4 linked regions of the Anolis sagrei genome follow. The protein of the gene in region 1 purifies or fractionates together with the protein of each later gene. This does not show direct contact. Links are inferred from orthologs where the notes say so. Each region holds a gene or a part of one and is shown in the gene's direction. Other genes may lie near its edges.

Region 1 (7,936 bases):
TGATAGGTTCATCTCAGCATGCAGCCGTACTGTGGAATTAATGCAGTTTAACACCACTTTAAGTGCCACAGCTCAATACTATGGGAGAATTCATTTGGTGAGGTATCCCTAATCCCCTGGTTAGAAAAGGCTTGCAAAACTACAACCCCATGATCCCATTCCATTGAGCTATGGCAGCTAAGGTGGTCTCAAACTGTATTAATTCCAGTGTAGATCAGGCCTGGGCAAAGTTGGGCCCTCCAGATGTTTTGGACTTCAACTCCCACCATTCCTAACAGCCTGAGGCCCTTTCCTTTTCCCCCTCAGCCGCTTAAGCTCCTCTCCCTTCGGCCCAGCGACGCTTCCCGCCCTCTCCCTCGCCCACTGCGCCTGCGCACAAGGATGGCTGCCGCGGCTGTACAGCAACACTCTTACCAAAGAGATGCTTCGGGCTAGAACAGCCCTGTTTTTGTTTTCCCCGCCACACCAGCGCTTGAGACTGCTCGCGTCATTTCCGCTCATGGTTGAGGCAATAGCAATGACTGCGGGGAGGCTGAGATCAATTCCATATCGCCCTCTGCGGATGGGAGGACCTCTTCCGCTGTTTCTCCTATGTAGATTGACATGCTTATCTGCCACGGCTATGGAAACTTGGGACTCCCAAGATTCCATAGCATTGAGCCAAGGCTGTTTAAAGTGGTATCAACCCGCATTAATTCCACAGTGGAGATATACTACTACTACTACTAATAATAATAATACGATATTTTAATTATATATTTATATGACATGTAATAGAGCCCCCGATGGCACAGTGGGTTAAACCCCTGTCCCGGCAGGACTGAAGACTGACAGGTCGCAGGTTCGAATCCAGGGAGAGGCGGATGAGCTCCCTCTATCAGCTCCAGCTCCTCATGCGGGGACATGAGAGAAGCCTCCCACAAGGATGATAAAACATCAAAACATCCAGGCGTCCCCTGGGCAACGTCCTTACAGACGGCCAATTCTCTCACACCAGAAGCGACTTGCAGTTTCTCAGGTCGCTCCTGACACGACAAAAAAACCCGACATGTAATATTACTAATAATATTACAATATAATGGTATAGTACAATATAGTAATCTTCTGTTGTTCATTCGTTCAGTCGTTTCCAACTCCAACTCCATGTGGGCTGGTCCATTGTGACCTCATGGACCAGCCCACGCCAGAGCTCCCAGTCAGCCGTCACCACCCCCAGCTCCTTCAAGGTCAATCCAGTCACTTCACTTCACAGTACTCTTCTATATAAATAAATATAATCTTCTATATCTATATAAATAAAATAAAAATGTATAAATAAAAATGTAATGTTCGTTTGTGGGATTAACAGAACTCAGAAACCACTGGGCGAATTGTCACCAAATTTGGACACAATGCACCTATCAGGACAACAAGTGACCATCACCCATAAAAATACTGAAAAACACAGCAGAAGAGACTTAAAAAACCAAAAAAAACCTTACAACACATGTGCAAAACCACATATATACACAAATATATACACATATATATACACACACAAAACACATATACACAGACTGGGCCACACCAACGCATGGCAGGGGACAGCTAATCTATATAAATAAAATGTAATGTTCATTTGTGGGATTAACATAATTCAAAAACCACTGGACAAATTGACACCAAATTTGGACACAATACACCTATCAGACCAATGAGTGACCATCATGCATAAAAACACCAAAAACACAGCGGAAGAGACTTAAAAAGCAAAAAAATAACCACCCTTACAATGCATGCACAAAACCACATATATACACTTATATTCCCATACCAAAAAAGGGAAATGCTAAAGAATGCTCAAACTTTCATACAGTGGCACTTATTTCACATGCTAGTAAGGTAATGCTCAAGATCCAGATGTACAAGCTGGTTTTAGAAAAGGCACAGAACAAGAGACCAAATTGCCAATATCCGCTGGATAATGGAGGAAGGCAGGGAGTTTCAGAAAAACATTTACTTCTGTTTTATTGACTATTCTAAGGCCTTTGACTGTGTGGATAATAATCAATTGTGGCACGTTCTTGGTGGTATGGGGATACCAAATCACTTTGTCTGTCTCTTGACAAATCTGTATAATGACCAAGTAGCAACAGTAAGAACTGACCATGGAACAACAGACTGGTTCAAGATTGGGAAAGGCGTAAGGCAGGGTTGTATCCTCTCAACCAACCTATTCAACTTGTATGTAGAACACATCATGCAATGTGTAGGGCTTGACAAATACAAGGCTGGAGTTAAAATTGCTGGAAGAAACATTAACAACCTTAAAGATGCAGATGAGACCACTTTGATAGCCGAAAGCGAGGAGGAGCTGAGGAGCCTTCTAATCAGGGGAAAGAAGAAAGTGCAAAAGTGGGTTGCAGTTAAACATAAAAAAAACAAGATTATGGCAACAAGACTGATTGACAACTGGAAAATAGAGGGAGAAAACGTGGAGGCAGTGACAAACTTTGTATTTCTTGGTGCAAAGATTACTGCAGATGCAGACTGCAGCCAGGAAATCAGGAGATGCTTATTTCTTGGAAGGAGAGCAATGACCAATGCCGATAAAACAATGAAGAGTAGAGACCTCACACTGACAACGAAGATACGCATAGTTAAAGTAATGGTATTCCCCGTAGTAACCTATGGATGTGAGAGCTGGACAATAAGGAAGACTGAGCGAAGGAAGATAGATGCTTTTGAACTGTGGTGTTGGAAGAAAATTCTGAGTGCCTTGGACCGCGAGAAGATCCAACCAGTCCAAACTTCAGGAAATAAAGTCCGACCGCTCATTGGAGGGAAGGACATTAAAGGCAAAGATGAAGTACTTTGGCCACATCATGAGAAGACAGGAAAGCTTAGAGAAGACAATGATGCTGGGGAAAATGGAAGAAAAAGGGAAGAGGGGCCAACCAAGGGCAAGATGGATGGATGGTATCCTTGAAGTAACTGACTTATTTATTTCATATCAAAAGCATTGCATAAATTAGTATAAAACCGATAAAAATAAAAAGAGCGCAGGTGGCTAAATATCTTTTTACCAAAATCAGACAACAGCAATGGCATTGCCTGTAGCCTCCAACAATTCTTCCTCTGTACATGAGGCAGAGCATAGTAGACAAGTATACAGATGCAGAGTTGTCTGTTCTGCTCCACAGTCACATAAGGTGTGGGATTCTTTTAGGTAGTGCCATTTTGCCAGGTTGTCTTTTGTTCTGCCCACTCTACTTCTGAGTCTGTTCAGGGACTTCCAAGTTGCCCATTCTTGGCTTGGCCCTGGAGGAAGGCCCTCCTGGTGTAGGGAACTATTTTAATTAGTGATGGTTGGTGACAAAGAAAGGCAAACATTTCCCTACACTGGGGGGGGGGGGGGGTGCATCCAGTTGGGATTTCCTGGTTTATCTGCCCAGAGGGGTATCCTTGCTGTTGCTGGGGGGACGCCAAGAGGAGTGGAAGTTCTCATAAAGCTTTTCCTTGATTTGACTCTACTGGGAGGAGTAACTGAATTGATTCTGAAGGAGCTGGGGGTGGCTATGGCCAACAGAGCTCTGGGTAGGCTGGTCCATGAGGTCACAAAGAGTTGGAAGCAACTGAACGAATAAACAACAAAACAATATAATATAGTAACTTATAATAATGTGCTAGGCTAATATATTGTATATACACATATTAAAATAATATAACGTAATACAATATACTAATAACGCATTATAATAATTATATTATATATATTATATATTATTTTTATATTATATATAAGTATTATTATTATTGTAATATAGTAAAGTATATTAAATATACTACTGATAATATATAATTGCACAGTTTTATTATTATATATATTTGTATATTTTAAGTTGTAATGTTTTTTATTGTGAGCCGCTTTGAGTCTTCGTATGGAGAGATAGAGCGGGATATAAATAGGTAAGCCTAGAACAGCTCGCGACGTAAGCACGGCTGCTCCCTCTCCCCCTCCTCCCCAGCGTCCTTATTTATTGACGTCTAGAGCCGTGATTGGCTGCGCCCTGCCGGCTCGCGGGTGAAGTGTGCAATTGTGGTTGGCCGGTGGAGCGTGACGCGGCTGCGCTGTGCCGGGCGCTGATTGGCTGCTTGCCTGCCTGCCTTCTTTCACCGGGTTTCTCCGTCGTGCCGATGGTGACCGGCGAGTCAAGGAAGGAGTGAGGAGGGGGCGCGCGCTGAAGCCGTTTCGAGGACCCTTCGGCCCCGCCATGACTCCCAGCTCCCTCGGCAGCCTCCTCCTGCTGCTGCTCTGCCTGCTTGGGGACGCCATTGCCGGGTGAGCCCCAAGAAAGAGGAGCGGGGAAGGGAAGGGAACCCCATCCGGCCTTCTGAGAGGCTGATATCCGCCCCCCCCCCCCCTTTTACTCCCTTGAGTCTTCCACAGGCCCCCTTCCCCGCCATTTCTGCCCCCGTCCTTCAGCTCTCCTCACAGTGAGGCCTTCCCTTCCTCTCCCTCCCTCCCTCCCTCCCACTGGCATTCTCTCAGCATCATTCAGGCCCCTGTGAGGCTTGGCTTCCCTGCCTCCTGTGTGAGACTGACATCCCATTCTCAACTCTGAGTGCATCTACACCAGGCATGGGCAAACTTGGGCCCTCCAGGTGTTTTGGACTTCAACTCCCACCATTCCTAACAGCCTCAGACCACTTTTTCCCCCCCTCAGCCACTTAAGCGTGGGAGGGAACGGCTAGTGTGTGTGTGTGTGTGCATCTCCACCCATGAACCGACTAGGACATTAAGATCGTCCTAGTCGGGGAGGCCCTGCTCTCGATCCTGCCTGCATCTCAGGCGCGCCTGGCGGGGACGAGGGACAGGACCTTCTCGGTGGTGGCCCCTCGGCTGTGGAATGCCCTACCTGTAGACATCAGACAGGCCCCTACATTGTTGCCGTTCCGGAGGAAGGTGAAGACCTGGCTCTTCGAACAAGTGTTTGGCTAAACAGTGCAATTTATTATAGGAATACGGTGCAATCGAACATAGGAACATGGAACAAGGATTATGAGAATGGTTCTGATTTGAGGCGTTATGATAATGATTGTTTATTGATATTGACTGTTATGTATAATGTGTTTTAATTGCCTATTATACTGTCTTGTGATAATTTGTACTATTTAAACCGCTTTGAGTCGCCTACGGGCTTAGAAGAGCGGTATAGAAATAAAGTAAGTAAATAAAATAAATAGGAGGTTGATGCACAATTGATCAACACAATGTTCACAGAATGAGGGTCCCAACCAGTGTCATGGTAACACGACAATGGTGGCTTCTCATTTTCCACTTTTACAGCCGTTGTAATAATAATAATAATAATAATAATCTTTATTTATACCCCGCCACCATCTCCCCAATGGGGACTCGAAGCGGCTTACATGAGGCCAAGCCCAAATGACAATTACAATAAAGAAAAACCAAAAAACAACACAAAAATGCAAACAATAAACAATAACATCATAGTTACATAAAACATATGAATACATAACAAAATAAAAATTACACTATGCACAGGCACAGTAATAATGGGCGGGCTACGTGTAATGATTAAAACTAATTAAAAACTCGGGCGAAATAAAAGAGAGAAGCAGGTAATTTACAGAGGAGGGCTCATTTTAGCGGGAGTTGTGGAATCAAGCTTTCCCATGAGGGAGGGACATATACTCCAATGACAGAACTTCGGGGCTGAGCAATCATGTGGGGTTATATACCTACTCATCAAAGGCGCAGCGGAAGAGCCAGGTTTTAAGGTTCTTTTAAAAAATTTCTAGGGAAGGGGCTTTCCTAATTTCTCCAGGCAGCGAATTCCAGAGTCGGGGAGTCACAGCGGAAAAGGCTCTCTCCCTTGTACTCACTAGGCCAGTGTTTCTCAACCTGGGGGTCGGGACCCCTGTGGTGGTTGCGAGGGGGTGTCAGAGGGGTCACCAAAGACCATCAGAAAACATAGTATTTTCTGTTTGTCATGGGTGTTCTGTGTAGGAAGTTTGGTGGGGTTCAGAATGCTATTTCGTTGTGGGTGAACTATGAATCCCAACAACTCCCAAATGGCAAGGTCTATTTTTTCCAAACTCTACCAGTGTTCACATTTGGGCATATTGACTATCTGTGCCAAGTTTGATCCAGATCCATCACTGTTTGAGTCCACGGTGTTCTCTGGATGTAGGTGAACTACAACTCCAAAATCTCAAGGTCAGTGTCCACCAGACTCTCCCAGTATTTCTCTTGGCCATGGGAATTCTATGTGCCAAGTTTGATCCAATTCCATCATTGGTGGAGTTCAAAAGGATCTTTGATTTTAGGTGAACTATAAATCCCAGCAACTCCAACATTCCCAAATGACAAAATCAATCTCCTCCAACCCCACCAGTATTCAAATTTGGGCATATTGGGTATTTGTGCCAAATTTGGTCCAGTGAATGAAAATACATCCAGCATATCAGATATTTATATTACGATTCATAGCAGTAGCAGAATTAAAGAAGTAGCAACGAAAATAACATTATGGTTGGGGGTCATCACAATGTGAGGACCTGTACTAAGGAGTCGCGGCATTAGGTTGAGAACCACTGCACTAGGCAAGCTTGAGAAACTGGCAGGGGCGAGAGAAGGGCTTCCCGGAAGATCGGACGGCCCGAGGTGGTTCATGGAGGGAGATACGGTCACAAAGGTAGGCGGGTCCCAAACCGTTTAGGGCTTTATAGTTGATAACCTACACCTCGAATTGGGACTGGAAAATAAACGGCAACCAGTGGAGTTCCTTAAACAGGGGGGTTGACCGCTCCTTGTAGGTTGCTCCAGTTATTCATCTGGCTGCCGAACGTTGGACAAGTTGTAATTTCCAGGCTGTCTTCAAGGGTAGCCCCACGTAGAGAACATTACAGTAATCCAGTCTAGAGGTAACTAAGGCATGGACCACCATGGGCAAGTCAGACTTCACGAGGTAAGGTCGCAGTTGGCGCACAAGTTTTAATTGCGCAAAGGCCCTCCCAGCCGACACCTGCACATCGAGCGTCAGCGCTGAGTCCAGGAGGACCCACAAACTGCGGGGGTACCATGTTGTCTTCTAATTGATCCGCCGTTGAGGTCTTCAGATTATGCTTGGTGTGCGGCCCCTCTAGCTTTGGTTAGCATAGGGAAGGAATAACACCCCTGTGTCTGTGCCCCTGTTCAGAAGATTTCACCTTACTTTCTTAAAAAAATCAGCAGGTGAGCTTTTGTGAATACCAACCTCATGTCATTCTAAACATTTAATCTGTTTCTTGTTTCGGTTTTCAATTTAAGAAGCATTGAAAATCAGCTCTCACAAAGATATATAGAAACAAAGGGGAGTATAACTTGAAACACAAGCATGGTGACATTTGGATGGCATGATTTTATGTTTTCCCTTTTTAAAATTTGCATAGCTCACCACAGACCCCTTCATGACCTCATTTGGGGTTGCAACACAGGGTTTGGTAACCCCTATAGTAGATGCCTTCTCAGTGGTGGCTTCTTAATGGTGGAATGCTCTTCCAAGCATATCCTTTTGGGCCTAATCCTTAATAGTTTCTTAGTTCTTCATGTTCACTTGGCTTTGGACTTTTTATCTTTTTATTCTTTAAATTTGTATGCTTTTAGTATATTTTGTGTGTGTGTGTTAAAATTCTGTTAGTCTCTTTGGAATTTTTATTGAATATTGGTGTATAAATCCCTATAATAAATAAATAGGTATACATGGCTTTGTCATTTAGATTACAGCTTCCAGCCTTCATCATGATTAGTTATTATGCTTGGGCTGGTGAGGGTTAATGGTTCAGCAATATCTGGAGAACTGCACTTTTCCCAACCTTTCCTAAAGTCAATACTAATTTCTGGAAGCTCCAAAATACAAAGTAGCTGGTAATGTATGCACTTTATTCAATA
Region 2 (8,566 bases), about 97 Mb from region 1:
AGTGAGGACATTGGTTTCCAGGTGGAAGGTGGTCCCAGTCAGGGTTGGCTTGACACGGCTTCCTCTTGGCACGTTCCTCTTTTTCACCCTCCATTTGTGCCTCTTCAAATTCTTCAGCACCACTGGTCACAGCTGACCTCCAGTGGTCGAGGGCCTGACTGGGACCACCTTCCACCTGTTCTTCCCAGGGCTTCCCAGTTCTCAGTGTCTATGCCAGAGTTTTTAAGGTTGGCTTTGAGGCCATCTTTACATCTCTTTTCCTGTCCACCAACATTCCGTTTTCTGTTCTTAAGTTCAGAGTAGAGCAACTGCTTTGGGAGACGGTGGTCAGGCATCCGGACAATGTGGCCGGTCCAGCGGAGTTGATGGCAGAGGACCATCGCTTCAATGCTGGTGGTCTTTGCTTCTTCCAGCACGCTGACGTTTGTCCACTTGTCTTCCCAAGATATTTGCAGGATTTTCCGGAGGCAGTGCTGATGGAATCGTTCCAGGAGTTGCATGTGACGTCTGTAGACAGTCCACGTTTCGTAGGCATAGAGCAGGGTTGGGAGGACAATAGCTTTATAGAACTGCATTAATTCTACAGAGTAGATGCATTATGAGTTGCATTGATATCAGGACCTCAGTGACTGCAGTTTGGTGCATATTTATGTACAATGTGTGCAGGATGTTGGCTGTTCAATACACCTTCTAAACTTCTTGGCGGCCATGGGCATGAGAGGTGATGAGACATGGTCATCAAAGAACAAGGTTTCAAACAACAATTCTGAAGTTTCAGACCATTTTCAGATTACGTGAGCAAACACAAGCAAGCATGTAAAATGTCATGGCCATTCTATACAGATTATTTCTGTTGCTTTGGTCTACAACAGAGGACACGATAAAACTGGACTGTGATAGCATGAGCACTAGTGTTAAAAACAAATGCATTTGGATGAAGTGGAGGAAATAGTGCTGCAGCGGTTCTCCACTTTTAGAGATCAAAGCAATGAGTTCCAGATGTCTGTCACCTGTCTTCAGGTAAAGTTAGAGGGTCCCCAATCTATATAAATAATGTTCATTTGTGGGATTAACAAAACTCAAAAACCACTGGGCAAATTTACACCAAATTCGGACACAATACACCTATCAGGCCAACAAGTGACCATCACTCATAAAAACACTGAAAAATACAGTGGAAGAGACTTAAAAAGCCAAAAACTAAAAAAACAACATTACAACTTATGCACAAAACCACATATATACACATATACACACATATATACATACACATATATACACACACAAAACACATATACACAGACTGGGCCACAGCAATGTGTGGCAGGGGACGGTTAGTGATGAAATAAAATTAAACTGCTAGTCTGATTAGTTTCCGTAATCTTTTGCTTCAAACAAGAAGATGACTTAGGCCACTTTAGTTACTGTCTTGGATATATTTGACAGATGCCATGGTCAGTAGATGTGCATGGATAGCTAGTGTGATGTTTGCTGGCTAATTTGTGCACATCGTATTTTGGAATTTTTCTAAAAAGTGGTACATCTGTTAATTTAATAATCAAATTACAGGCAACCTGATACTGAGTTGGAGCTACTGGTAAGCGGGGTGAGTGGGGGGGGGGGGGGGGTTGATGTAGGAGAAAACTCTAGGTCTAAGTACAAAGTACCAGCAGTAGTATTGTAGTATCACCAAAAATGCAACACCGTGTGAAGTTCATGGTCCTGTTTATCCAGCAGTAAATATCCTAAAGGCATCTGATTGATCCTGGAAGCCAAACATGTTCAACTCTGGTTAATACTTGGACAAAGACCAGGTACTATGGATATTTCACAGGAAGAAGATGGTAAAACAATCTCTGAGTATGTCTTGCTATGAAATCCATACGATTACCATAAGTTGACATGGGGATTAAAGGCACATGCAAACAAATGCTTGTTCATACATAGAACACTAATGCCTTCAGTACACAACTATTTATTAGGATATTTTAGTGGCCTCTAGTGGTTATTAGTGGCATTAATATTTTTAGAATAACCATTGGCTCCTTTTTATTTTATTATTTTTTTCCCAAATACAATAAAAGTTCACTCACAAGTAATAACTTAAAAAGGCAGGGAGAAATGTTGAAAAAAAGTGAATAGAAGAAATAAAATATATAGTAATTTCAAACTGCTTTTTAAGCAATCTTTTTTCAAAAAGTCTCTACTGATTTTTCTTGAATCAAATTGAGATTGGATCCATTTCTGGTAGCTCATTCAGTGACCATTTTCCCTCCATGGCTATGAATATATTCTTCTAAGTCTAGGCACACAACAGTCTTGCCACTACAATCATGTATTGAAGAAGTCTTCTATGGCTCCTTTTTAGTTGTTGTTCCATATGTTTTCTTTGACCAGTGTTTTGTTTTACCACATTGTTAAGAACTGAACTTTATATTGACTGGTGTTTTATTTTCCCAGACTGTAGTAAATTTGTTCTTTCCAAGTTTACTACAATTCAGTCTGGCTTTACCTTACATTAATGACTCCAACTGCAAGCTGGTTTAGTTGAATTAATCCGGTAAAAAGGATATATGCCACAGAATGAAGACAGGTTGTGTATTTGTGTAAGCAGCAAATGGGAGCCCCCGGTGGCACAGTGGGTTAAATCCTTGTGCTGGCAGGACTGTTGACTGAAAGGTCAGCAGTTTTAATCTGGGGAGCAGGGTGAGCTCCTATCTGTCAGCTCCAGCTTTTCATGCAGGGACATGAGAGAAGCCTCCTACAGGATGGTAAAACATCCAGGCATCCCCTGGGCAATGTCCTTGCAGATGGCCATTTCTCTCACGTCAGAAGTGATTTACAGTTCAATGCAGTTAAACTGCATTATATGAGTTTACACTGAGCATATAATGCAAGTTTCCAACAGCATTATATGGCAGTGTAGATGGGACCTGAGCTTCCTTTTGGGGTTGAAGACAGCTTTTAAGGGATGTTTCCTGGCAATAAGCAGTGGTTGTACGTATTTTAAAATATAGAACAGACTGGTTTAAAAATGAATATCAAAGAATTTAAGGCTATTTCACATCTTGATATATTTCAGTCCTTCTCCAGAAAATTACACTATAATCCCACGCAGATCTACAGAAATCCAAGGGTTTGTTTCTCAATAAATCTACTGGGGATAATGGATGATGACCTGTTAGGATCACAACCTACTGGGGATTATGGTTCATGACCTGTTAGGATCATAACCTATTGGTTCGCAGAGTTATGTAGGTGTTCCTCTAGCTTATTGAGTAATGGATGGTCGCTAGGCACATAGTTTCTATTAAGTGCTCTCAGCAGACAAAGATTCAAATTGACTTCTTTAAAAATAGCTTGTTTGTTTACTCATAGCTTCATGTACTAAAATATACAGGCACATTTCTTGTCATGTTAAATTTTAAAACATTTTGGTTTGTATCTTTAACTTATTGTCTTTAATAGTCTTTTCAAAAACTATATTGTTCTGTACAGTTCTCTTTCATAACAGTCTACTATTGAAGAATTCAAGCTTCAACAGTTTTCTAACTTTCTACATTGACATCTGACTGAAAAACAGACTTCTGTACTCAAGCTGACTCAAGACTTAGCTGTCATTCCTCAACTATTATCATGTTTAAAATGCATTATAAACAGTCCCGTGATCTGCAGCCCCTCGCACTGCCTCAAGTATATAGAGCTAAGGAAACTGCAAACCAAAGTAGACATAAGCCTTCGACAATACAAAGTAGACATACACTTTGGGAAATAAAACGACACATTATAAACAGACATAACATTAAATAGAGGAGGCTTGAGAAGGTTGCGATCTCCAACAAAATCGCTACCCTCAAGTCTTTCTGAAACGAATGAGGTTAGTGTGATATAAGTTAATCACATCCCATTGATTTCTTATGAGTTTGTATGTAATTTTCCTGGACGGAGACTTTGTATTAAGAATACAAGTTTAGAGCCCTTGATCCTGAATTCCGAAATATTCCTAAACAGTCCAAATGGCTGGCTGAGATAGAAACACCTTTGCTTTCTTATGCTTTAAGATGTACAAGCTTTGTTTAACATAAAGTTACACAAATATTATGTATGAAATTACTCTCAGGCTGTGCGTTTAAATTGTAAAAGCAGTTTGTGTTTAGACATTTCCAAGATATATCAGTATTCTAAAATCCCACAATATGGAACATTTTTTTTCTGAATGAGGTCACCATCCCAAAGGGATGCATCTACACTGGAGAATGAGTGCAGTTTGACACCACTTTAACTGCTATGGAACTCTGGGGTTTGTACAATCATAGAATCAAAGAGTTGGAAGAGACCTCATGGGCCATCCAGTCCAACCCCCTGCCAAGAAGCAGGAATATTGCATTCAAATCACCCCCGACAGACGGCCATCCAGCCTCTGTTTAAAAGCTTCCAAAGAAGGAGCCTCCACCACACCCCGGGGCAGAGAGTTCCACTGCTGAACGGCTCTCACAGTCAGGAAGCTCTTCCTAATGTTCATATGGAATCTCCTTTCTTGTAGTTTGAAGCAATTATTCCGCTTCCTAGTCTCCAGGGCAGCAGAAAACAAGCTTGCTCCCTCCTCCCTGTGGCTTCCTCTCACATATTTATACATGGCCCTCATCATGTCTCCTCTCAGCCTACTCTTCTTCAGGCTAAATATGCCCAGCTCTTTAAGCCGCTCCTCATAGGGCTTGTTCTCCAGACCCTTGATCGTTTTAGTCGCCCTCCTCTGGACACTTTCCAGCTTGTCAATATCTCTCTTCAATTGTGGTGCGCAGAATTGGACACAATATTCCAGGTCTGGTCTAACCAAGGCAGAATAGACTGTAGTTCGATGAGGCACCAACATTCTTTGGCAGAACGAGCTAAATGCCTTGTAAAACTACAACTCCCATGATATCATGGCAGTGAAAGTGGTGTCAAACTGCATTAATTTAGAGTGTAGAGGCAACCATTGTTATTTCAAGACTTATTCTGTGCAACTTGGAAGCAAACACCGTCAAACTTTCAAAAGTAGCGCCCTGGTGTCGCCCTCCTTGACGTCACAGAGCTTGAAAGGAACTTCATTCCCAAGAGAGGGCAAGCTGACGTCCGTCCGCGCCGGCTTCAACGCCTCCTAACGCGCATGCCCGGGGAGGAGGGGGCGGGGCCCGCTGACCATGGGCTCTCCTGCTCTCCACGTTCCCCTAGCCGGGGGCGGGGCTTGAGGCGGCGCGGCCAATCAGCGGCTCCCACGACCCAGCCCCAGGAACCTGGCTGAGAATGTTGAGAGAGTTGAAGAGTCCCGAACTCCACTTTGACGCGGGTCGGGCGGCGCACGTGGGAACGCAGCAATGGTCTCTCCCCGGGCTTGCGTGCACAAGCTGGCCTCGGCGCTGCCCTTACTCTTGACGCTGTGGGACCTCCACTTTGAGGGTGAGGAGGCTGGGAAGGGGGAGAGGGGTTCTTTTCCTGGGAAATCAATTGGGACAAGGTTAACTTAGACTGCATTTGCCTTTATCCTCTGTCAGCCTTTTGGGGTCGCTCCCTGAATGTGTGGATTGAGGTCTAGGGTGCATCTACACTGTAGAACTTAATGCAGTTTGACACAACTTTAACTGCCATGGCTCATTGCTATGGCATCCTGGGAAATGTAGTTTTACAAGGTCTGGCAAAAAACCAAACTTCCCCAAAGTACAAAACCCAAGTTAAAGTGGAGTCTTCGTGGTATGGTATAGATGTGCCCACACCTCACATTTATAGCACTTTGATACCGCTTTAACTCCCTTGGCTGTTTCCCGTGGAATTCTAGGCTCTGAAATTTGACGAATGATAATAACTTAAGACTTCTTTGCCTGAAAGTTTTAATAGTATTCGGTGATTTGACAAACTTTGGTCTTAAGCGTGTTTTGGACTTCAACTCCCAGAAGCCTCAGCTGCTGTGGCTAGTGGTGAGGGATTCTGGGAGCTGAAGTCCAAAACACTCAGAAGGCCAGAGCTTGGGAAACTCTGGGGGATTCTGTTTCCCTCGCCAAATACAAATCCCAGCGTTGCGTCAGATGTTTTCAAAGTGCTATAGTTACATGGTGTGAAGTCTACATTAGGAAGCAGGACTTCTTCCTGGTCCTGGAAAGGCTCAGGAAGAGACTTGAGATGTGCGATAGGATTCCTATGTATGAGTGCATCCACACTGTAGAATTATTGCAGTTTGACACCACTTGAACTGGCATGACTCAATGCTATGACCTTATGGGAGGCACCAGCAAGCAGGGAAAGGCCTTATAAAACTATAACTCCTATGATTCCATCTATACCTGAGAACAGGCCTGGGCAAACTTTGGCCTTCCAGGTGTTTTGGACTTCAACTCCCACAATTCCTAACAGCCTATCGGCTGTTAGGAATTGTGGGAGTTGAAGTCCAAAACACCTGGAAGGCCAAAGTTTGCCCAGGCCTGCTCTAGAATGGATGCATTTTGGTGCCACTTAACTGCCATGGCTCAGTGCTGTGGAATCATGGGAATTGTAGTTTTTCTATGTGCCTCATCACACTAGAACTCCCAGGATTTCACTCCCAGGACGATACCACTTTAATCATAGCAGTTAAAGTGATACTATACTGCATTAACAGTGCAGATGCACCCATGTCTTTGAATCCTGTTCCCTGTAAGTGTTTAGGATTTCAGCCGTTCACCTAAGGGAGTGCCCAGTTGACATCCTTCTTCCTTGTTTCGCCCCAATCTCTTCCAACGTCATTCTCATTCTCAGACGACAATGACTTCTGGTCTTGCTGCTTTATATGTAAAATGGGAATATCAATCGTAACAATGGGATGATGTTATTGAAGGTCTTTTGAACATCAAAGGAAAGTGACATAAAAACTCTGAGTTGGAGGATCACGTGTAAGACAAGGCTTGCTAGTGTGAGTAAGTTCTGAGGTCCATGAATACGGATTTGTAGTGCAAATATAATGTGTGGCCTCTTAGCACATAAACGGTTAGCAAACATTCAGAAAGTTACAAAAGTTACAGTGAGATCCTGTTAGTTTCTCAGCTTCCTTCCTTTTGTGGACAAGAGAGACCGTCATGTGGCTATGAGGGTTGTTTTGGGCCATGATGCTCAACTTACATAATACCAAAGAATAATATAATAACAACCATACTATATTAACATTACTTTCATAATGCATATAGTCTTGCAGTAGTAATAGCTTTGATTAATGTCTTTGTTTTGATATTACTGGTTGTACGCGCCACGCATTGCTGTGGCCAACCTTCCTCTCCCTCTTTCCTTCCTTCCCTTTTTTATTTCATTCTCTTCCTTCTCTTCCTTTTCCTTTCCTTCCCCCCTTTTCTTTCCCTTCCCCTTTCTCCCTTTTCTTCCTTCTCTACTTATTCTTGGACTGCAACTCCCAGCAGTCCTCTTGATCAATCGATCTATATCTACCTATTTATCTCCATCTGAATCTATCTGGGGGATTGCTGAGAGTTGCAGTCCAGGAATAGGAAATTGGAAATATGCAGGGATTGGGATGCTCTCAAAGAAATCCAAGGAGAAGAAAGCTTGTATCTTGGAAGCGGTGCATTTGGATCATCCTCCTCTCCTAAAGGGCCTGGTTTAGAGGATGCTGGGAGCTGTAGTCCGAAAGAGAGTGTGGATATGCTTTTGTGTGTTTTGTTTGCCAGGGGAGTTGTTTTTGGGCATGCCCTGTAGCGTCTTTTTGCTTTTTTGGCCTTTTAAGTCCCTTCTATTGTGTTTTTCAGTGTTTTTATGAGTGATGGTCACTTGTTGGTGTGATAGGTGTACTGTGTCCAAATTTTGTGTCAATTTATCCAGCAGTTTTTGAGTTATGTCAAACCCACAAATGAACATTACATTTTATTTAAATAGATTATTATTACTACTTATATATAGCTTTTCTCTTTTAGACTCAAAGTGGTATTCCACTTTCTCTTATATTAGACCCTTCTACACAGCTGAGTAAAATCCCACAGTTATTGACTCATATAACTAAGGGCCCTTCTACACAGCCCTATATCCCAGAATATCAAGGTAGAAAAACCCACATTATCTCAGTGTGGACTCAGTTAACCCAGCTCAAAGCAGATATTGTGGGATTTTCTGCCTTGATATTCTGAGATATAGGACTGTGTGGAAGGGCCCTTAGAGATCCCTTTTTATTTCCCAATTTAGTCTTAATTTCTATATGATGGGAGTATTTTTTCTTGCTGTTACTTTACTTTTTTGTAATGCTAAGCACATAAACCTTTTTAATTAGATCTTCAAATGTAAATAAAAGTAAATCTCATAAATTTAAAAAAACCCAGGCACTAAAATAGAAAACAGCAATTTAAAAAAATCATATGTAAAAATATCCCCATGATTTTTCTACCCTGTTACAGCCCCTCCCTTGCCAACTAAAACTAACAAATAAATGTTACCCCTCTTTAAATAAATAAAATTTAAAAAAACATACCTTCTCCACTCCTCAAGCAAAGGCAGCTATCAAGTTAAGTTTAATAAACTTATTGTTCTATTTACTGGTAGTTCATTTCGGCTTCTGTGA
Region 3 (8,031 bases), on another chromosome or scaffold:
AAATAGACGAAGTACAAGAAAATTTAATTTATTTAAGGAGGGAATATTTTGAGTTTAGTGATAGGAATTCAAAGATGCTAGCCAAATCAACACAGAAAAAGAAAATGGAAGGAATGATAAATACGATAAAAGATAAAACAGGTAAATTATGTAGAGCTATGAAAGAAAAATTGAAAGTATTTGAAGAATTTTATAAAGAACTATATCAAACCAAAGCAAGCCCCATAGAGGCAATTAGGAAATATGTGGAAGAAAATTGGAAGAGTAAGCTGGAGGAGAAAGATAAAGAGTTACTGGAACAACCTATTAGGAAAAAAGAAATAGAGGAAGTTATTAATAAATTAAAAGTAGGAAAAGCTCCAGGCTTGGATGGTCTAGGGACAGAATATTATAAAAGCTTTAGAGAAGTTTTAACCCCAAAATTATTGGAATTGTATAATGGAATAATGAAGGGAGATAAAATACCCGAATCATGGAGGAGATCATTAATAATATTAATACCCAAACCTGATAAAGACTTAACAGACCCAGGGTCATATAGGCCCATATCATTAATTAATCAGGATGCAAAGATATTGTCCGCAATATTAGCCAATAGAATGAATAAATGTATGTATAAGTACATAAAAGAAGATCAGTGTGGGTTTGTAAAAGGAAGACAAATGTCAAATTTGATAGGGAGAGTACTAAATAAAATTCATTGGGCTAAAGAGGGGAAGGGAAAAGCAGGGATATTATCAATAGATATTTTTAAAGCATTCGATTGTGTGGAATGGGAGACATTAAGGGAAATATTGAATAAATTTGGAATGGGAAATAGAATAAAAGGAGTACTAAAACAATTTTACTCAAGGAACTCAGCAGTGGTAACTATAAATGATGGAGTGACAAACGAAATAAAAGTGACTAGAGGAACCAGACAAGGGTGCCCTTTGTCTCAGATACTATTTGCTATGGTGATAGAATTGTTTGCTAATAACATAAGGAACAATAAAAATTTAGAAGGGTTAGGAAAAAAGGAGAAACAGAAGGTGAGCTTATTCGCTGACGATACATTGTTATTTATAGAAAATATAGTGGAGAAAATGGATAGAATAAAAGAACATTTGGAGATATTTGGGAAAGCAACGGGTTTACAAGTCAATTGGAACAAGTCAGAAATGATGCTACTTAATTATACAAGAGAAGAAGAAAAAGATTTTATAGAACAGAGAAAAATGGGAATAAGAATTAAGAATAAATTAAAATACTTGGGAGTAATAATAACTAAGGATTTAAAAGAGATAGAGGAAGTAAATGTAGTAACTTTAAGAAAAGAAGTTCAGAAAAAGTTAATAGAGTACGAAGGTATACACTTATCCTGGTTTGGAAGAATAGCATTAGTAAAAATGAAAATACTTCCAAAAATAAATTTTATATTTAGGATGCTACCACTTCAAATCACAGAAGAAGAACTAACTAGATGGCAACAAATGATTAATAAGTACTGTAATGGAAGTAAAAGAAACAGACTAAATAAACAGTTATGGTATAGATCGCAAAAGGAGGGTGGACTAGCACTACCTAATATAAAAAAATATTATGAAGCAAGTAGATTAAGTTTGGTTATAGAAGGAATGGTTAAAAAAGAGGGAATAGATTGGCTTAGTAATGATTCAGGAAAAGTGGAAGATGAAATTTGGAATATATTTTTTAAACAGTTTACTACAAAAGAAATGAGGGAAATTAGAAACCCAATGCTGAGTAACATACTGAAAGTATGGAATAAATATAAGGGGAGGTTAATAAAGGAGGGATCAATTATAACCCTAATAGTGATGGAAAAGAAGTTCCCAATTTTTTTTAAAAAAGTAATGGATAAAAAGGTAAGGGAAATAAATTTAGATAGGATAGGGGATTGGATGAAGGGGGAAATGAAGAGGGAGACGATGTTGGAAGAGTTTAAAGAAATAAAATTGTCATGGTTTCATTGTATACAATTAGAACAATGGTTAATAAACTGGGAAAAAAATAATAGAAGTGGAAGCCAACCCAATCAATTTGAACAAATAATACAGAAGGGAAGGGCTGTAGAAGAACATGAAAACTTGAGAGGTATAATTAGCAAAATCTATAAGATACTAATTGAAATGAAGGATGAAAAAATAAAAAAGTGTACCCTTAAGGAGATTTGGGAAGAGGATTTAGGGATAAAAATAAGTGAAATAGAGTGGCGACAACTATGGGGACAAAGACATTTAAAAAATTTATCGATACGAGTTAAAGAAAATTATTACAAGTTAATATGGAAGTGGTACTTAACACCGGTAAGAATAGCATATATGAATAAAAATAACTCAATAAATTGTTGGAGAGGGTGTCAAGAACCAGGAACATATATACACATGTGGTGGCAATGTAAATATGTAAATAATTTTTGGGAGAAAGTATTTAGAGAAATAGAAATTATAATGAATATGAAAATAGATAAAAGTCCTAGTATAGCCTTACTATCATTATATAACAATAAGCAATTGAAAAAGGAGGATAAAGAAGCGATAACAAACTTATTAACTATAGCAAGACTGCTCATAGCAAGGAATTGGAAAAAAGAAATGAATATACAAATAGAGGAGTGGTATAAGGAAGCATGGAAAATAGCAATAAATGATAAATTGACATGTATATTAAAGGTTAAAAAAGGTACATGGAAACAAAACGATTTTGATGCTGTATGGGGAAGATTTGTGGTAAATTGATTAAAAAATAAGGAAGGAAAATTACCGTCACAAGAAGAAATGAAATTTTGGACAGATGAAATGTAAGAATGGTGGCTTGAGACGGGTGGAGGGGAACACTGTGGTGGAAAAAAGGAAAAAAGAGAAAAGGGGGGGGAAATGTCAAAGCAAAACAACATGTTAAAGAGGTTGATGTACAAAATGCAATAGTATGTAATAAATGTGATAAATCAATAAAAAATTATTAATAAAAAAATTGAAATCCACAAGCATGTGGACAATTTCAACAGAAAGGAAGAGACCATGAAAATGAACAAAATCTGGCTACCAGTATTAAAAAAACTCTAAAATTACAACAGCAAAACAGCAGAGAGGAAACAACCAGGCACATCTTAACACCTCTCAACAAAAGGTTTTCCCAGGCTCAGCCAGGCCTTCAAACGCTAATGAAGGTGGTCAGTTGAAACATTCACACCTAGCTCCAGCAGAGAAGAGCTTTTTGCCCCACCCCAGCCATTCCACAGATATATAAACCCATTGTCCTAATTCCAATAGACCTCACTACCTCTGAGGATGCTTGCCATAGATGCAGGCGAAACGTCAGGAGAAATGCCTCTAGAACATGGCCCTATAGCCCGAAAAAACCCACAAGAACCTAGTGATTCCAGCCATGAAAGCCTTCGACAATACATTGTACATGAATACTCAATATCCCCAAATGTGAACACTGGTGGAGTTTGGGGAGAATAAAATATTGACATTTGGGAGTTGTAGTTGCTGGGATTCGTAGTTCACCTACAATCAAAGAGCATTCTGAACCCCAACAATGATAGAATTGGGCCAAACCTCCCACACAGAACCCGCATGTGGGCCACAGCAACGCATGGCAGGGGGCGGCTAGTATTATATATAATACTACACACATATATAATGTAATATGTTGTACTATATATATTATATGTATATTGTAATACATATAATATACATTACATATATAATAATATTAATATTGTGTGTGTGTGTGTGTGTAAGTATAATATCACCTTGGTGCTTCAGACTCCAGGGAGCTGAGTTCGAATCCCTGATCCCCAACTCTGTCATAGAAGCCCATTGAACGTCCTTGAGAGAGTCACACTCTCTCAGCCTCGGAGTGGAGTGGGCTAGAATAGGCTCTGTCTTGGCTCCATGCTAGGAGGGTCCTGCCGCCTCCTCTGCGCCTCGTCCAACTAGAACTCCCAGGACTCCACCACACTGAGCCAGAGCAGCTAAAAAAGCGGAGTCAAACTGCCTTGATTCTACATTTGAAAGGTTATAGCAACCCACCCATGTGAAATGCCGACGCCGGGCCTCGAACTCGGAAACTCCCGAGGCTGCGCTTCTGTACCTCTGCCATTGCTCCGCCTTCTTCTTCCACGTGCGTCCCGCCCCTTTATCGAGGAAGGGAAGCAAGGCGGGAGAGCGTCGCCACGCCGAAGCTTCTGATTGGCTCGCCTGGCCGCCCGCCGTAGGCCAATCAGCGGCGCCGCCGTCAACGATCCGAGCCAGAGTGTGTGGCCAGGCACGCGTGGGCGGTGCTGGCATGCTCTGATTGGCTCAGCCCCAGTACCGGGACCGGAAGTCGCTTCGGAACCGTGCAGAACCTTTCAATATAGCAGCAGCGGTGGTGCGGAGATGCGGCGCGGGTTGGGCGCTGGCTTTTGCCGGCTGCTGCTCCTGCTGCTCTTCGCCGGAGGCTCGAGCCGGGCGTCAGAAGCGGAGGCGGGCGCTGTCACTTGCGGCTCGGTGCTGAAGCTGCTCAACACGCGGCACAACGTCCGGCTCCACTCGCACGAGGTCAAGTACGGATCCGGTGAGGAGCGGAGAGACAAAGTGGCTCTACCAACACCCGCAGCCCAAAGATTCCAGTCAAAGGCTCCTAGCCCCTCAGAAGCTTTTGGACTTCATCTCCCGGCATGCCTCACCGCTGGCCCAGGTGGCGGGGCTTATGGGAGTGGAAGTCCCAAAGCCCTAGAGGGCCCCAGAGGCCGAGAATGGCTGCCAAATGCACACAACTTAATCAAATCCCACATTATCTGCTTTGAACTGGGTTATATGGAAGCGTGGACTCAGAAAACCCAGTTCAAAGCGGATATTGTGGATTATCTGCCTTGATATTCTGGGTTATATGGCTGTGTGGAAGGGCCCTAAGGTCCTTACCACACAGCTGTATAAAATCCACATTGAACTGGATTATCTGGCAGTGTGGACTCAACACAGATTTTTTGGATTATCTCCCTTGATATTCTGGGTTATATGGCTGTGTGGACAGGACCCTGGGTTTTCTGAGCGCCTATCCACACAGTACCTTTATCCCAGGAGCTCCCGGTTCAAAATCGTGGGTGGCCAAACGACGACCCCTGAAAACACAGGGAAAAAATGCTACAAAGCACTAAAAACGTTGTGGGAATATCCCAGTTCTGGCTGGAAAATGTGGATATTCGAATCTCTGTGGGCCCTTCCACACAGCTATATCACCCAGAACATTGAGGTGGAAAAACCCATAATATCTGCTTTGAATTGGAATATCTGAGTCCTCACTGCCATATATCCAGTTCAAAGCGGATAATGTGGGATTTTCTTCAGCTGTGTGGAAGGGACCTATATGTCCCTACACTCAGAAAATACAGGATTTTTATGTTGGTTTATTCCCATACATGGTTTGTTCCACATACATGTCAGTTCCTGATTGGTTTTATCCGAAGAACATGGCAACAATTGACTAGAGCGCAAAAACTATATCCTAGCAAGAGAAACTTTGTCCTCCACACGTTTAATGAAGTTTGTGACACAGAAACAAAAGTTTTGCTGTGTGATCAACTTCCCCCATGTTTTATGATTAAAGCAATGAGGAACAGAGACATGTATAACCCAGGAACATCACCCAGTTGTTTCCAGGCACAAGTACATGACAAAACCTGTCTGGACAGATGGCCATGCGGCCTCTGAATTACAATAATGATGAAGTACTGTTCCTGGCTTGAAAGTGTGAGTTCCTGTTTAATAGTCTTGTCCTGACTTTGAAAGTAGTGGTCCTCCTCCACAAACTTTGTGTGCCACAAACTTAATTAAAGGTGTGGAGGATGAAGTTTCTCTAGCCAGGATGAAGTTTTCACCCTCTAGTCAGAATTCATAATCTTTTCAGGAAAAAAGCAATGAGGAACAGATATGTTTGACCCAGGAACAAAACTCATACAAATGATGCGCATATTTATATGCATCTATACATTTCAAAGGTTTTTTTTAAAAAAACGCCAACATTTCTGGTGGATGTCCCGCAGCAGCCATCTTGCGGGCTTCAAAATCCTGGAACAAAGTTGTTAGTGTGGATGACAGAGGCACAAATCTTGGGACTAACAGGTCTGTGTGGTGACCTCTTCTCCGGACCCAGGTTTTTTGTCCTACCTATTAAACCCGCAATTTGGTGCTGTCTGGAAGCACCCTGAGTCCACACTGCCATATATCCCAGTTCAAAGCAGATAATGTGAGATTTTATACTGCTGTGTTGAAGGGGCCACAGTTCAAAGCACATTTTGTGCATTATCTGCTTTCATATTCTGTGTTATATTGCTGTGTGGAGGGGCCCTCAGCAGGTTAGGACCTGGATGCAAAATCACCCAGGCACCACATATACCACCATGTCAAAATTGGTATTATTTGTATACGAGTCCACACTGCCATGTAATCCAGTTCCAGGATAACACTGTGTAATGAAATTTCAGGGAAAAAGTTCTGTTCCTGGTCTAAATGTGTTATTTCCTGTTTAATTGTGCGGTCCTGACTTTGAAAGTCATTGTACTACTCCAGAAACTTCATTTTTGTGGCTGCCACAAACTAGGGGCCCTTCCACACAGCCCTATATCCTGGAATATCAAGACAGAAAATCCCACAATATCAGCTTTGAACTGGGTTATCTGAGTCCACATTGCCATATAATCCAGTTCAATGTAGATTTTAAACTGTGTGTGGAAAGTGCATAGTGTAATCTGGATTTTATATGGCAGTGTAGATGAGGAATGGAGGAACGTCTTGACCAAACCACCAAAGGGAAAAACTTGTGAAATTCATGAAACTGCCCAAAGTCAATGGGCCACTTGAAGGTGTAGAGTGCATCCCATCTTAATACCTGCCTGAATGCATTCGATTTTTGTCTGATCTTGGAAGCTAAGCAGGGTCAGCATGGATGGGAGATCCAGATTATTCTAGGTGCTGTGGGCTGTGCTTCAGAGGAAGCCCTCAGCCGAACCACCAATGGAAAAACCCTATCACATTAATGGGGTTGCCCGAAGTCAGCAGGCAGCTTGAAGGCACAGGGGTGGGCACATGGGAGATTCTGTTTTAATGGTTTTGTTTCCTCTTTTGCTGACTATGTTCGTAGGTAGCGGACAACAGTCAGTGACTGGAGTCGAAGCTTCTGATGATGCAAACAGCTATTGGCGGATCCGGGGCAAAACCGAGGGGTCCTGCCAGCGAGGGATGCCAGTGAAGTGCGGACAAGCCGTGCGCCTCACACATGTCAACACAGGGAAGAATCTGCACACCCACCACTTCTCTTCACCGCTCTCCAACAATCAGGTCAGAACCAGATTCTCCCATTACACTATGTAACATATTTTTTTAAAAAAATGTTCTTGGTTTAAAAGTGTTATTTCCTATTTAATTGTGCAGTACTTACTGTGAAAGTAGTTGTTCTATTCCAGAAATTTTGTTTTTGTGGCTGCCACAAACTAGGTTGAATTGACTGAGACTCAATGACATACTCATTGAAAAAACTATAGCAAAATGTGCTGCAGAATGTCCTGCAAAAACAAAGTTAATAAACAAAAATAACCTTTGTGCATTTTTTATGATAGAGCCAATTAGAAAATGACATTTATAAACCAGGATCAAAATCATGTTATGTAGTGTTACGTTCCATATTTCTTGTATGTGTAGTCCAGGATTGCACAACTTGGTGATATGAAGGGGCTGAAATTAAAATAGGCTAAACTTCTTGGGGCTGTAGATAGGGTTTGGGTTTGGGAGAGGGCGCCTTTCCTTCAGAGGAAGCAGCAAAGTCTTGATTTCCCTCCTGGTGGCGAGTAGCAGTCGAACCGAACGGAGGCCCTTCTTCTTTACCATCTCCTCCCTCTAAAAATGGCTAGTTGCATTTACTGTTCTGATTCTAGAGTTTTTTTAATACTGGTAACCAGATTTTGTTCATTTTCATGGTTTGCTCCTTTCTGTTTAAATTGTCCACATACTTGTGGGTTTCAGTGGCTTCTCTGTGTAGTGTGAC
Region 4 (9,018 bases), on another chromosome or scaffold:
AAAGCAAAATAAATACAATCATATCTACTTTTAGGGGTGAAGGACTCAAATCTTGTTGGGTGAGTGGGCTTATTAACAAAAGACCCTCCCTATAAATGTACAGCAGAATAATTTATTAGCAGCAGTGTGACCCAACAGCAGGAGCCCCAAGTGATAAAAAATAATATAAACACACAAAGAACAATGTTATCTCTTCCTTAAAAGGCTTTTCTTTGTAGTAAAATAATATGGTTGCACTAATTACAACAAGTTTTTCATAACACAAATAGACAAACACATAGTAGCTTTGCACAAAACAGCCTTCACACTGGAGGTTTCTCACACAGAGGTTTACCTCACACTCTTCAGGACGACACTAGCTTTTGGCCCACTAATTCTCACAGGCTTCGGCCTACTCACTCTCCTCAGGACGGCACTATTTACAACAACAAGGTTTCCATACCACAAATAAACAAACACATACTGCAGCCTTCACACTGGAGTTTTCTCACACGAGGCTTCTCTCACATTCCTCAGGACGACACTAGCTTTTAGCTCACTAATTCTCACAGGCTTCAGCCTACTCACTCTCCTCAGGATGGCACTATTTACAACACCAAGGTTTTCATACCACAAATAAACAAACACATACTGCAGCCTTCACACTGGAGTTTTCTCACACGAGGCTTCTCTCACACAGAGGTTTACCTCACACTCCTCAGGAAGACACTAGCTTTTGGCCCACTAATTCTCACAGGCTTCGGCCTACTCACTCTCCTCAGGATGGTACTATTTACAACACCAAGGTTTCCATAACACAAATAAACAAACACATACTGCAGCCTTCACACTGGAGTTTTCTCACACGAGGCTTCTCACACACAGAGGTTTACCTCACGCTCCTCAGGATGCTCTTTGATTGTAGGTGAACTATACATCCCAGCAACTACAACTCCCAAATGACAAAATCAATTTTTTTGAGTGAAGGACATATATTGGGTTGTTAGGTGTCTTGTGTCCAAATTTGGTGTCAATTTGCCCAGTGGTTTTTGAGTTCTGTTAATCCCACAAACGAACATTTGTGGGATAAAAATGTAATGTTAGTTCGTGCTACCATCAGAACTCAAAAACCACTGCGGGGATTGACACCTAATTTGGACACAAGACACCTAACAACCCAATGTATGTCCTTCGCTCAAAAATTGATTTTGTCATTTGGGAATTGTCGTTGCTGGGATTTATAGTTTACCTACAATCAAAGAGCATTCTGAACTCCACCAATGATGGAATTGAACCAAACGTGGCACACAAGACTACCATGACCAACAGAAAAAACTGAAAGGGTTTGATGAGCAGTGTCTTTTGGTTTTGGAGTTGTAGTTCACCTACATCCAGAGATCACTGTGGACTCAAACAATGATGGATCTGGACCAAACTCTACACGAATACTCAATATGCCCAAATATGAACACAGATGGAGTTTGGGGAAAACAGACCTTGACATTTTGGAGTTGTAGTTACTGGGATTTATAGTTCACTACAATTAAAGAGCATTCTGAAACCTACAAATGACAGAAATGGGGCAAACTTCCCACACAGAACCTCCATGACCAACAGAAAATACTTCAGGCCATCCAGTCCAACTCTCTTCACCAGGGCAAGAAAATGTAATCAGAGCCCTCCTGACAGAGAGCCATCCAGTCATAAATATAGATAGATAGATCTTAAAGAAGGACTATGATATGTTGCATATTCCAGAGTAGGCAAACCAGACACTCTCCACATCAACACTGACAAAGAAACAACAAGAAATACTGTTTACTCACAAGCAGAAAGGAATTACATATATTAGAAACCAACACTTTCTCGTTACTTTATTTTCCAGATCATCAGACTGGGCCATAGCAACGCCTGGCAGGGGACAGCTAGTAGATAAATAAATACATACATTTTTAAAGTGTAGCTCCAACCAACTTTGATGCCCAAGTTCTCATCATTGAAGATGAAGTCATCAATAAATAAATATATACTTATGCATGCTTCCAGAAGTAAATTTCCCTACCTAGGAGTAAATTTCTCTCACTTACTGTAAGTTGGATGTCTGTAACTCAGGGTCTGTCTGAATTATTATTATTATTATTATTATTATTATTATTATTTCCCATATTCTCTCAGGGTCAAGACTGTGCCTTCAGACCATCTGTGATTCATTTCATTTCCCTGTAAATAACATTAGCAACTGCTTTTCTCATGAACGGTGGGCCTTGTTCACAAAGAGAGTGGTCAAGGAAATGGTCAAGCAATAGCAGCAATGCACAGAGGTATAAACATGTCATTGGAAAACTATAATTCAATGCTCTGAAAAGCAAGAGCCTGGCTCCGCAGAAGGAGGAGCCCTTTCAATGCTGCATTAAGCACCTTGGAAGACTGCAGGGAGGGAGGAAGGAAATAAACCCAAGAAGCCAATCCAGATTGGAAAATAAGGCAGCCATCTTGCTCTGGGCGAAGCTGTTGGCCTAGTTCAACCCTTCACTAACCTGTTTGTCTCCGAGTCCGTGACAGGGCTTTCATAAATAGCAACAGCAAGAACAACCAAAACAAAAACATACTTGGATTTATTACCCACCTCTCCTCAAAGCTTGCAGCTGCTTTCAGCATAATCAAAACACACTGCCACAAAACACGTGGCCCAAACTATATCTCATTTCTATATTTTTGTGGCTAATTTATAAATCATTATTATGCCTAATTTATATATTACTGCTATGGCTTATTTATATTGTGGCTCATATATAAATTGGTGCTATGTTTTATTTCTATATTATTTTATGGCTTATTTATACATTGTTATGCCTTATATATAAACTACTGCTATGGATTATTTATATTGTGGCTCATATATAAATTGTTGTGTTGTATTTCTATATTATATTATTTCTATATTATTTTTGTGGCTTATTTATAAATTGTTGTTATGCCTAATTTATATAGAACTGCTATGGCTTATTTATATTGAGCCTCATACATACATTGTTGCTATGTCGTATTTCTATATTATTTTTGTGGCTTATTTATATTGTGGCTGATATATAAATTGTTGCTATATCTCATTTCTATATTATTTTTATGGCGAATTTATAAATTGTTATTATGCCTAATTTATATATTACTGCTATGGCTTATTTATACATTGTTATGCCTTATATATAAACTACTGCTATGGATTATTTATATTGTGACTCATATACAAATTGTTGTGTTGTATTTCTATATTATTTTTGTGGCTTATTTATACATTGTTGTTATGCCTAATTTATACAGAACTGCTATGGCTTATTTATATTGAGCCTCATACATACATTGTTGCTATGTAGTATTTCTATATTATTATTGTGGCTTATTTATATTGTGGCTCATATATAAATTGTTGCTATATCTCATTTCTATATTATTTTTGTGGTGAATTTATAAATTGTTATTATGCCTTAATTATATATTACTGCTATGGCTTATTTATACTGTGGCTCAGATATAAATTGGTGCTGTGTTTTTATATATATATTTGTGGCTTATTTATAAATTATTGTTATGCCTCATTTATATATTACTGCTATATTATTTATATTGTGGCTCAGATATAAATAGTTGCTATGTCTCATTTCTATATTATTTTTGTGGCTTATTTATACATTGTTATGTCTTATTTATATAGTACTACTGTGGCTAATTTATATTGTGGCTCATATATACATTGTTGCTATATCTTATTTCTATATTGTTTTTGTGGCTTATTTATAATTTGTTGTTATACTTTATTAATATATAGCTGATATAGCTTATTTATATTGTGGCTCATATATAAATTAGTGCTATGTTGTATTTCTAAATTATTTTTGTGGATTATTTATAAATTGTTGTTATGCCTTAGTTATATAGAACTGCTATGGCTTATTTATGTTGTGGCTGTGATATAAATTGTTGCTATATCTCATTTCTATATTATTTTTGTGGCTTATTTATAAATTGTTGTTATGTCTTATTTATATAGTACTACTATGGCTTATTTATATTGTGGCTCATATACAAATTGTTGCCATATCTTATTTCTATATTATTTTTGTGGTTTATTTATAAATTGGTATGTCTTATTTCTATATTATTTTTGTGACTTATTTATTAATTGTAGTTATGCCTGTGGGCTGATATGGGTGGGATATAAGTGATGTAAATAAATAAATAAATAAATAAATATTGCGTCACATCCGGTTTTCGAGAAAGGTAGGATAGAAATATCGCAAATAAATTATATATTACTGCTTTGGCTTATATACAAATTGTTCTTAAGGCTTATATACAAATTGTTCTTACTCACTGGACCTCTTGTCTGTCTGAGGCAAGTGTCAATGTTGCCATTGGCCAGCTTAATTAGCACTGAATAGCCTTGCAGCTTCAAAGCCTGGCTGCTTCCTGCCTGGGGGGGGGGATTCTTTGCTGCTTGTGGGTCCTCATGTGTTTTGGCCTACTACTCCTAGATATCCAACTATTAGGATTTCTATTCGCGCTGAATAGCCTTGCAGCTTCAAAGCCTGGCTGCTTCCTGCCTGGGGGGGAATCCTTTGCTGCAGTGGTCCTAAGCTTGTTTTTGGCCTACAACTCCTAGAAATCCTATTCGTACTGAATAGCCTTCCAGCTTCAAAGCCTGGCTGCTTCCTGCCTGGGGGGGGGGACTCCTTTGCTGCTTGTGGGTCCTCGTGTGTTTTGGCCTACAACTCCTAGAAATCCAAGCCACTTCACCAACTGTTAGGATTTCTGGGAACTGAAGGCCAAAACAGCTTGAGAAGCCCTGCTTTGTTGGGAGGTGTTAGCTGGCCCTGATTGTTTCCTGCCTGGCTCTTTGCTTATTGTTGTGATTAAGGCCTGTGGGTATATATATATCTCTCCTCACGACCCCCTCAGCCCTGGAGGCGCCTTTTGGGGGCCCGAAGTGGGCGGGCGAGGGGGGCGAGGCCTCCCTCTGCGGCCTAGAGGCCCTCCCAAGGCCTGAGCTCGAGTAGCGAAAGGAGGAGGCCGCGTCCAAAAGCCCTCCCGCCGCTCCCGAGGCTCCCCCTCACCTTTCCCGGCTGGCTGGGCCTTCCTGGGCCGAGGAAGGAGAGCGGAGGCCCTTCCCCGCCTCCGCGGCTCCCTCTGAGGCAAAATGGAGGCCAAGCTACGGGCGCAGGAGCAAGACAAGAGCGGCTTCCGGTCCCTGGCCACGCCCACTTCCGGCGTCTCCCCCTCGCGGAAGCCAAAGGAAGCGGAGGAGCGGCGCCCTGGAGGTGCGCATGCGCACTTGACTTGGCCATCAGTTTCCTGCCCTGCCTCTAGTGCCGGTTCCTGTCAGCCGTTTCCTGAGGGGCAACTTCCGGTGTGTCTCTTCTTGCCGGAAGAGGAAGATGGCGCCGGCCGGGGCGGCTTTGCTGCTGGTGGTGGTGGGCCTGGGGTCCTCCGAGGCGGCTCCGGAGGCGGTGACGTGCGGGTCCGTGGTGAAGCTGCTCAACCCCCGCCACGGCGTCCGCCTCCACTCGCACGACGTCCGCTACGGCTCCGGTAAGCACTCTGCACACGCCCAGAGGGCCCACCGGCGCACACTAGGCCGCACGCCCCTTAGGCCAACAGCCCTTCAGGCAAGGCAGCATCCTCACACGGATTCTGGGCTTTGTAGGCCAACAGGAACTTTCCCCATGACTTTCATTATATATATATATATATATATATGATTTTATACTTTTATTAGTTTACATATATTTTTATCATTACTATAATTTTAGATATATTTATATATATATGAATTTATACTTTTATTACTTTACCTATATTTTTATCATTACTATAATTTTAGATATATTTATATATATATGAATTTATATTTTTATTACTTTACCTATATTTTTATCATTACTATATTTTAGATATATATATATATATATATATGATTTTATACTTTTATTAATTTACATATATTTTAATAATTACTATATTTATATATATATATATGATTTTATACTTTTATTAAATTATCTATATTTTTATCATTACTATATTTTAGATATATATATATATATATGATTTTATACTTTTATTAATTTACATATATTTTTATCATTACTATATTTTAGATATATATATATATATATATATATATATGATTTTATACTTTTATTAATTTACATATATTTTAATAATTATATATATATATATATGATTTTATACTTTCATTAAATTATCTATATTTTTATCATTACTATATTTTAGATATATATATATGATCTTATACTTTTATTATTTTACATATATTTTAATAATTATTATATTTATAGATATATATATTTATGATTTTATACTTTTATTAATTTACCTATATTTTTATCATTATTATATTTTAGATATATATATATATGATTTTATACTTTTTTATTTTGCATATATTTTTATAATTATATATTTATAATTTATAATTTTATTAATTTACCTATATTTTTATCATTACTATAATTTTAGATATATATATGATTTTATACTTTCATTAATCTACATATATTTTTTTCATTACTACAATTTTAGATAGATAGATAGATAGATATCATTTTATACTTTTATTAATTTACCTATATTTTTATAATTATTACATTTTAGATATATATTTATGAATTTATACTTTTATTAATTTACCTATATTAATTGGTTGACATACAAACAAATTTTAAAAACCACAGCTGAGAAACACTTAACCATAAAAACGATAGAGGAGATTAAACAACAACACACCAATTTTACATGGATGCAATATCACCAACTATACCGAAGTTATAAAGATGATGAGAAGCAAGGATTCTGCCAGGAACAAAATATCTGGGACATAGTAATGCAGAAGGAGAAGAAATTAATCAGAATAATATATAAGCAGTTACTGGGGTGGGCAACTGAAGAAGAGCAAATTAAGGACTGTCAGGTAAAATGGGCAAAAGACTTGGGTCACAACATACTTACAAAACAATGGGAGGAAATTTGGAACACAAAGTTAAAATATACGGTAGCTACGGACCTAAAAGAAAATTGGCACAAAATGTTTTTCAGGTGGCACTATTCCCCAGAGAAAATTGCAAAGTTTAGTAAATCAATATCAAACAAATGCTGGAAGTGCCAAAAAGAAATAGGGACATACTACCACCAATGGTGGGGATGTAAAAGAATCAGGAAGTACTGGAGAGAAATACATTTAGCAACACAAAAAATTCTAAAAACAAATTTTCCACAACTCCCAGAAATGTATTTATTAGGTATATCCTATCCCAAATTCAATAAAAATCAAGACAAAGTCTTCTTCCTGATGAGCACAGCAGCCAGAATTCAACTTGCCAAAATGTGGAATCAGAAGGAAACCCCGACAATAGAAGACTGGTTTATAAAAATACTGGACATAGTACAAATGGACTGTTTATCTCAGCGTCTTAACAACATTACGAAGAGGACAAATTGGGGAGGTCTTGAAGACTTCATTAAAAGGGAAAAACTGACTATGATAATAGACATTTCCAGTCTCTGAAGGAAATTAACAGATGGAGACAACGCCGGAAAAATGAAAGAAATTTGGATGAGAACCATACCAGAAGGGGAAGGTTCTCTTTGAAGACTTTGGGAAGTCCTTCACATGGGGGGGGGGGGGAGGAGGGAGGAGACAGGTGGGGGCGGCACGGGGATCTTTTAGGCTGTTTCTTTTTCTCTCTCTCTTTTTTCTCTTTTTTTTAAATTATGTATCACAGAAAAAACTGCACAATAAACACTATAACAAAAAAAATATTTTTATAATAATTAATTATAAAATATTTTTATAATTATTATATATTTATAATTTATACTTTTATTAATTTACCTAAATTTTTACAATTATATTTGTAGATATATATATATTTATATATGATTTTATACTCTTATTAATTTACATATATTTTTATCATTACTATATCTTTAGATATATATACATAATTTTATATTTTTATTAATTATTATTATTATTATTATTATAACTTTATTTGTACCCCGCTAGCATCTCCCAAGGGACTCGATGCGGCTTACAACAGGCCAACGCCGCAGAACAACAATACAGCAAAACAATACAAAGCAAATTAAAACGGTTAAGCAAGTAAACAAAACAGTAACAATACATCAGACAATTATTAAAACTGGGCCGGCCAGAGTAGTGGGTACAAGATTAAAAGTGCTGAAATTGTGGGAGGAATATAGGGTTATAACATAAGTGCAGTGTGCGGTGTGCAGTGATCGTGGTTCTACTAAAGTGCATCTGGGACTTGGTGTTGAGGTTCCTAGTCTGAAAAGGCACATCGGAACAGCCAGGTTTTCAAGTTCTTCCTGAAGACTGCCAGTGTGGGGGCCTGTCTAAGATCTTTCGGGAGGGCATTCCAAAGTCGGGGGGCCACTACAGAAAAGGCTCTGTCTCGCGTCCCCACCAAGCGCGCTTGCGATGCAGGCGGGATCACGAGCAGGGCCTCTCCAGATGACCGGAGTGAGCGTGTAGGCTCATAGATGGAGATGCGGTCACGCAGGTAGGGTGGTCCCAAACCGTTCAGGGCTTTGTAGGTGGGCACCTGCACCTTAAATTGGGCTCGGAAGATAAATGGCAGCCAGTGGAGCTCCTTAAACAGGAGGGTTGACCTCTCTCTGTAAGGAGCCCCGGTTAACATCCTGGCTGCTGCCCGTTGGACCATATATTAATATATTTATAATATATAATTTATTTAATATTATATATTTATAATTTATACTTTTATTAATTTACCTATATTTTACAATTATTATATATACATATATATATGATTTTATACTTTTATTAATTTACATGTATTTTTATCATTACTATATTTTAGATATATATACATAATTTTATACTTTTATTAATTTACCTATATTTTTATAATTATATTTTAGATATATATATATATATGATTTTATACTTTTATTAATTTACCTATATTTTTATATTTT

Evidence for each region.
Region 2: the proteins of DNAJB11 (region 1) and DNAJC3 purify together in Homo sapiens (affinity purification with mass spectrometry; 3 studies listed by BioGRID and IntAct, with this or other methods). This does not show direct contact. The link is inferred for Anolis sagrei from reciprocal best matches to the Homo sapiens genes DNAJB11 and DNAJC3.
Region 3: the proteins of DNAJB11 (region 1) and SDF2L1 purify together in Homo sapiens (affinity purification with mass spectrometry; 3 studies listed by BioGRID and IntAct, counting the BioPlex papers as one, with this or other methods). This does not show direct contact. The link is inferred for Anolis sagrei from reciprocal best matches to the Homo sapiens genes DNAJB11 and SDF2L1.
Region 4: the proteins of DNAJB11 (region 1) and SDF2 purify together in Homo sapiens (affinity purification with mass spectrometry; 3 studies listed by BioGRID and IntAct, counting the BioPlex papers as one, with this or other methods). This does not show direct contact. The link is inferred for Anolis sagrei from reciprocal best matches to the Homo sapiens genes DNAJB11 and SDF2.

Annotation. Positions count from the first base shown.
Region 1 is NC_090023.1:223,644,290-223,652,225, reverse strand, and holds the start of DNAJB11 (dnaJ homolog subfamily B member 11), read left to right. Parts: upstream 1-4,119; 5' UTR 4,120-4,253; coding exon 4,254-4,321; intron 4,322-7,936. UniProt on the Homo sapiens protein: As a co-chaperone for HSPA5 it is required for proper folding, trafficking or degradation of proteins.
Region 2 is NC_090023.1:126,801,084-126,809,649, forward strand, and holds the start of DNAJC3 (dnaJ homolog subfamily C member 3), read left to right. Parts: upstream 1-5,242; 5' UTR 5,243-5,357; coding exon 5,358-5,439; intron 5,440-8,566. UniProt on the Homo sapiens protein: Involved in the unfolded protein response (UPR) during endoplasmic reticulum (ER) stress.
Region 3 is NC_090034.1:33,709,239-33,717,269, forward strand, and holds the start of SDF2L1 (stromal cell-derived factor 2-like protein 1), read left to right. Parts: upstream 1-4,297; 5' UTR 4,298-4,388; coding exon 4,389-4,566; intron 4,567-7,131; coding exon 7,132-7,328; intron 7,329-8,031.
Region 4 is NC_090031.1:35,000,904-35,009,921, forward strand, and holds the start of SDF2 (stromal cell-derived factor 2), read left to right. Parts: upstream 1-5,359; 5' UTR 5,360-5,411; coding exon 5,412-5,565; intron 5,566-9,018.